2 linked regions of the Danio rerio genome follow. The protein of the gene in region 1 purifies or fractionates together with the protein of each later gene. This does not show direct contact. Links are inferred from orthologs where the notes say so. Each region holds a gene or a part of one and is shown in the gene's direction. Other genes may lie near its edges.

Evidence for each region.
Region 2: the proteins of ift20 (region 1) and ift57 purify together in Homo sapiens (affinity purification with mass spectrometry; 3 studies listed by BioGRID and IntAct, counting the BioPlex papers as one, with this or other methods). This does not show direct contact. The link is inferred for Danio rerio from reciprocal best matches to the Homo sapiens genes IFT20 and IFT57.

The regions. Positions count from the first base shown.
Region 1 is NC_133190.1:26,254,741-26,257,934, forward strand, and holds the end of ift20 (intraflagellar transport protein 20 homolog), read left to right. Parts: intron 1-455; exon of another isoform or gene 456-459; 5' UTR 460-499; coding exon 500-626; intron 627-736; coding exon 737-822; intron 823-891; coding exon 892-995; intron 996-1,794; coding exon 1,795-1,876; 3' UTR 1,877-2,483; downstream 2,484-3,194. Other genes in the region: tmem97 (sigma intracellular receptor 2), read right to left, coding at 2,657-2,931. UniProt on the Homo sapiens protein: Part of intraflagellar transport (IFT) particles involved in ciliary process assembly. May play a role in the trafficking of ciliary membrane proteins from the Golgi complex to the cilium.
Region 2 is NC_133177.1:45,216,532-45,220,371, forward strand, and holds part of ift57 (intraflagellar transport protein 57 homolog), read left to right. Parts: intron 1-51; coding exon 52-142; intron 143-2,551; coding exon 2,552-2,620; intron 2,621-3,495; coding exon 3,496-3,615; intron 3,616-3,690; coding exon 3,691-3,762; intron 3,763-3,840. UniProt on the Homo sapiens protein: Required for the formation of cilia. Plays an indirect role in sonic hedgehog signaling, cilia being required for all activity of the hedgehog pathway.

The DNA.
Region 1 (3,194 bases):
TTAGAAACTAAATTAGAAATGACGTTATTTTAATATAGTCAGTCGTGAACTGAGGTGGGCCGGTCTAAGGCTTGAAACTCCAGGGCTAAAAAGCAGTCCCACTCCGGCCCTGCTGGTATATAAATGTTCAGAGCAAAACATCGTTTCAAACTAATTAAATGACATTTTAGCCATGTTGTACATCAGATTAACGCGAAAAAGTTTTTTAGAACATCATTGCAAAAGCAGCAAACTGAATATTCTTAAAATGCATTCTGAAAGTTCAATAACAATAAGTAATTATTACTTATTTTAAAGTGATAAAGCATGTATGTTCATTATCGTTGTGATATATTATTGAATACTGGCACGTCTAGACATTTTACTTTGCAAAATCAACACTGTATTTGTCAGTATTGAATACAATAAAATTATGCATATTTTTCTTTTAACATACTTCTGTTTCTGTATAATTATCAGCCATTATTGAGTCACACAGGCAGGTTACGGTCCTCTGGTCATGGCTAAAGACCCGTTAGCAGAGGCTGGTCTTCATTTTGATGAGCTCAACAAACTGCGAGTACTTGAGCCTGATGTGAGCCAGAAAACAACTGAGCTCAAAGAGGAATGTGAGGAGTTTGTCGACAGTAAGTGTTTTTTATTTTTTAATCTCATTGTGAAGTTTATCTCTCTTAACTGAATTTCTTTGCTTTTTGCAGTCCAGATCAATAACTTCTCCTTTTGCTTTTGAAAACAGAGATCGGACAGTTTCAGAAAATTGTAGGTGGACTTATTGAACTTGTGGATGAACTTGCGAAGGAAGCCGAAACTGAAAAAATGAAGGTACGTTGTTGTTTTAAACTATTAGCAGTGCATATTTGCGTTTTGTATTTATATATGGTTCACCTTCAGGCCATAGGGGCAAGAAATTTGCTGAAATCGGTTGAAAAGCAACGGGAAGCCCAGCAGCAACAGCTTCAGGCTCTGATTGCAGAGAAGAAAATGCAACTGGAAAGGTAAATATGATAATACATCATAATACATCATTATGGTCTGATATTTTTCTTCAGTTCTATTTTTCAGTCATTTTTCAGTTACTGCATGGTAATTTCCAACTTGTTACTTCTAAAAGAGAACAAAAGAAAGAGCATCACCATAAATCTATTACAGCATTTGCATTGGCATGTGCACAGTGCTAGTTAGCAACTAAATACATGTTATCTGCATTACGTAATCAGATTCTGAAAGTTAGGTTGTAACTTGGAATTGAAGTATATAACATTTTAAAATAATGAAACATACTTACATACATACATACATTTTGGACTCCTCCTTTTATCTTTCACTCACAGCAAAGTAACTGTTGGAGGGGCGTGGTTAAGCATATATCACCCAAACTTGTGTAATCAGAGGTGTAGATAGTAAGTGGTCAGAATTTAATTAACGAATATCAAAACACTGAACATCTTTTTCACTGAATTGACTAATTCAGAGCACAGATTAATTTCAGCGTGCTAGCAAAATAAACATGTGGTTACATCAGTTGGTAAGTGAAAAGTTCGTAATCTAAAAGTAGTTGAAATACATAAACCATTACCTAAAATGAACCACAGTTCTTCATGATCATCAGTAATCAGCAATTGACTACAGTTTCAAAGTAATCTGCCCAGAACTGTATGCCGTTCATTTTAGGCCACCAATATTGCTTATGACAAGGGTTTCTGAATGTTGCATACAGCCACTTCAAGTAGTGAACAGCATTGTGTTTATGCTCTGAATTTCTCTTCAAGACTAAAAAGTCTTTTTGTTTTGCAGGTATCGAATAGAATATGAAGCTCTTCAGAAAGTGGAAGCTGAGCAGAGTGAATTCATTGATCAGTTTATACTGCAGAAATAAGAGCACTGTGTTTCCTCTCTCTGCTGGACAGGAAAAATGATGCTATGCATCTTGATTCACATTGACTTCCTAATAAGTGCAAGGTCTCAAACTAGATGAACTGAATTGAGCAGTTATGGCAGACAACAGACGTCTGTTTCAGCCTCAACCTCACAGCATTGAGTGCTTTTGCATGGCCAGTTCCTGGAGGCACATCCTTGTAATCTTTCCAACCATAGATCATAATCTCAGATGAAACTATTTATATACAAATGTTATTTATACTATTTATATGAAAATTAGTTTGTAAATCTGATCTTTTTTTTTACAATAGGGAAATACAGTATTTGCATGTTACTGTAAATAATTCCATCATGTGACATCTTCAGGTAAATCTATTGTTTTCTGTATGATTACAACTCCTGTTTGAGACTTGAACCCATGTCGTTTTTATTATATCATATCCTCATGATATTTTTATTGGGACCAAACCAAAATAATTTCAGTAGAAGTTATGGAAAAGTAAGTTCATTTATTACTTGTTTACATTTACCATGTGTAATCTCAACATTGGGCAAAGCTCATAAAGATCTGAAGAACATTTGAATAAAAATATATTTTGCATTTACATCTGCTGTCATCGGTAAACAATTTCTAGAGCTTAAAAAATGGTCACATATAATTGAGAAATTTGGCACATATTAAATCACGTTTATCAAATAATGACTACTAACAACCCTGTTGGGATTTGATCAATACATACTGTGCTCTAATTTAGGGTGTAGAAAGATGAACTGGCATTTATCTTTGTTTCTTGGCCTTTGAGGGAGCATTTCCTTTCAGAGATGGTGAGTTGTAAGTTGCGCTGAAGAGCATGGTGAGCAGTATCATAATGGGAATGATGAGGTACGGAGCATAAATGGACACCAGGGTCAGACGTTCATTCAAAGTTTGGGGTCCCGGATGTGGACTCAAAGGAAACTTGTGGAAAAGTATGTGGCTTAAAATTGGGACCAGAGTGGTGGCCACATGAACAGAATAAATTATGGCTGGAGTTCTGATCCATTTGCAGCCACCTATTAAACAGACGAGCACAATAATTAGCTGGAATAATATGACCTTAGCTAGTAGAAGACAATGGATTACTTTCACTGCATCTAAACCAATATCATGTTTATTAGAACCCATCCCAATACCAACTTAATTATAGACAGTAGCATCTCCTCTTTATCTTTAGGTCACTTCCCAATCAACAGCTAGATCTTAGTGAATTAAAAATGCAAAAAGAAAAAAAAGGGAAACATATAGACAAATGATATTAATAAAAGTTTTCACTGCA
Region 2 (3,840 bases), on another chromosome or scaffold:
TGTTCTTACTGTATACAAACACATCTAGAGCTTGTATTCTCTGTCTGTCAGGCCGCTGTACCCATCAGTGGAGGTGGAGGATGAGTGTGTGCAGGAAGATGATGCAGAACTCACACTCAGTAAAGTGGAAGAGGAGATGACAGTAAGTCACTCTTAATAAAAAAAAATCAGCCTGAGGTATATTTGATGTCTGTCAAGATTTACTGTTAGAGAAGTGGTTTTATTGTAACTTGGACTGAGTAACTTAGATCAGGATTTGTGTAATTATATTAGTAGTTACCATTTGTGATCAATAACAATTAAAAGGTCGAAATGTATGTGAAAGAATTTTCCATCACCATTCAGCGAGTAAGTTTACATTGACACCAGTAATCCGATTTTAATATAATTAAAACAATACTCTGATTAAGAGTCATGCAAACAGCGATTTTTGATTACTTTAATCTGATAAAGGTCATAATCGAATTAAACAGAAATCAGATTAAGACGTGTGGAGTATGCTGATTTAAGTCGCGTTATTGAAGTGCAGCACAGACATGTAAACACCACAATCAAACTATTACCATCGTGTAGGATTTTTGCCACATTTTGCAACAGGATAGTCTATACACTAGGGCTGCACGATTCAGGCTAAAATGAGAATCACTATTTGTTTTGCTTAAAATCAAGATCTTTTTTCAGATTTTCTCATGATTCTGTAGATGTTAAATAAAGGTTAATATGAGTGGGCTATTATTCTTGCTAATTCTCAAACATATGGAATAATAATAATATTAGGTCTATTAGGTCTACTGTTCGTTAAAATGCTAAATTTTGTATAGATTTGGAATGATGGACTTGAACAGTATTTAAATTTGCCCTGTTTGTTCATTCACAGTAAAATGATCACATCATATTCATGATTCTAAAGTTGAATTATTGTGTTTGAGACATATGCTTATCATTTATCATTGACAACATTAGACCATTTTTAATGAAACATTTGTAATTATCAGAGACCCAGTAAACATTTATTTGCATGCACAACTCTTTGTGTTCGCTATGAAAGAAAAAACATGAAATACTTGTTGTAATCATAACTTTAAAACACAATATGATCATTTAAATGATGTGTGTGCCGGTTTCAATTTCACTTATGAGTGCGGCTCATGGCCGCTGCCACTGTGAAAAAAACACACACATGCAAATCATATTTCCTGTGCAGCTCCCAAACAATCGCTCTGAGCAACAAACTGAACGTTATTTACAAGTTTATTAAATGTTATTCACATGCAGGTTCTGTACACTAAAGTAGGCATCATTGGCGGACATGCCCTCTCGGTAGTAAACAAAGTGAACATGCATGAAATGTTCCCGAATGAAAGTGAAAGTGCCAAACTGCAGTTAAAGTCAACACATTAAAAACAAAACATCCAAAATCACATGAAACTCTGGAGGAAACGTGGATATCGTAATGAAGCTAATCAAATTGTGTGCTGTAACATGTAAAACAGGATCATTAAAGGAACATGTAAAAAGCAACTCACGTAAACATCTTAATCATGTTATTGTCTTACTCGGATTTGATTACTGATGCCCATGTAAACGTAGTCAGTGTAACAGATCTCTACTTATTAAAATATATAAAAGACTAAGTAATCACACACAATTTTATTGTAGTTTTAATTACAATTTTCTTATTGACAAATGGATAAAATCCAGTGGTTTAAATGACACTGGCAAAGTATAAAAGCTTAAAATGACAATTAATTTATATTTTGAAGCAGCGATTTATTCCTTAAGTAGAGCATTGTATTATGTCATTAAATGAGTCTTGTTCTAAATGTACCTGACAACATTTTTTTGGTATATAAAAAGTCACTAAAACATTTTAGTGGTGTCTGTTGTAATTTGTGGTTCCAATATGTGATTTTCATTTTTGCTCAGAAAAATAAAGGCCATTTATTGCAAAAATGATCAATTAAAATAATTAATATCAATATTCTTCTAGTATACATAATCCCTTGCTTTGTGTGTTTTCTACATCAAATGATATTTAAACAGAACAGTTAATATAATAACCTTTATTTAACCAGGTAAGTCAATTGAGAACCAGTTCTCATTTACAATGACGACCTGGCCAAGAGGCAACAAAAAGATGCCGATGCAGTACAAAGTAGTAGAGACACAATACAATAACAATTTCACAAATGCAGATAATAACATATAAAACAAACAAAAAATCTAAAAACAAGCACAATGATCTTGATCTATTGACTGGATAAAATTTTTAAAAGATGATAGCGGAATGAAAGTGCTGAGCTTTAAGGTCTAATTAAATGTTAATAAAATAATAATAAAAAGTTAAATGGAATACAATTTGGCAGAATGTCTATGTTGTGATTATGTTTCCACAACAAAAATAGAAAATATCATATAAATGCTTATTAATATATATATAAATCACTACTAAGGTGAAATGCAGAAAGACATGACATTGAATCACACAGACTCATGTGTAAAGTGAGTGACAGTGACTCACAGACACACTCATTAAAATGTGCATTTTCAGCAGGAGGATGAGGAATATGAGGAAGAAGATGGACTGGATTTAGATGCACTGAAGACCAGAACCAATGGCGTAAGTCTTGTTTGAAAAATACATTTTACACAAATACATTATGCAAACCTGAATGGAATATTCCTTATACTAAGTTAGCAGCATCAACTCAAGCTAAGAAAATGAGTATACTACGTATTATAATCTATACAGGATTCATACGGTCATGGAAAAACCTGGGAAAGTCATGAAATTTAGACATAGCAACAGAAAAACTCAAAGTTTTGAATAAGTCATGAAAATTAGTTTAACAAATATCTGTATACTTAATTATAGGTTAGTTGTCTACTGTATACTTTTTTCTGTCTTTGGCCAAAACATGTGTAAGCATTAAATAAACTTTACATAGATATAAAATTTAAATTAAACTTAATAGATTGTTGCGTGTGGGTGACATGGTTGCATAGCAAGAAGGTCGCTGGTTTGAGCCTCGACTGGGTTAGTTGGCATTTTTGTGTGGAGTTTGCATGTTCTCCCCGTGTTTGCGTGGGTTTCCTCCGGGTGCTCCGGTCCAAAGACGTGTTGTAGGTGAATTGGGTAAGCTAAATTGTCCATAGTGTATGTGTGTACTGGTCCTCCAGGTTGGGGGTTTGGGGTCTAGTTTTACCTTATAAAAACTAGATGTTACGAAACACCAATATGGTGCGGCTAAATATCATCTTCGATATAAATGGCCCTGGGAGTAAGTAAGTAAGATTGTTGCGTGTTTTATGATGTGTTAAAATAAATTTGAAAGTGCAGTTTTTTTATTATATATTATCTATGCATGCGTAGACATTACATGAAACATTAGGTCATAAACAGTTTATAGAAAAGTCATGGAATTTTAGTAGTAAAAATGTGTATGAACCCTGTATGTAAAGTGCTCTATAACTAGTAGAAGTGTGTGTCTTTAGGAGCTCAGTGGTTCGAGGCCTGCAGTGGTTTTGGAGTCAGATGTTGATGCTGCCGAATGGAATCTGGAGGTGGAGCGAGTTCTTCCACAGCTTAAAGTCACCATCCGCACTGACAATAAGGTTGATGCTTGATGCATGAAAGGTGAATTAGAGACTCATTGGTTGAAGATTGAGTAACGGGTTACTGTGTTTCAGGATTGGAGGATTCACCTCGATCAAATGCATCAGCATCAAGATGGCATCAACACATCCCTGCAAGATGCCAAGGTCATCCATCAGTCAAAGATGTGTTTAAACAGTTAGCAAATTAGATAATAATAAGAAATGTTAAATTTATGTGTAGCA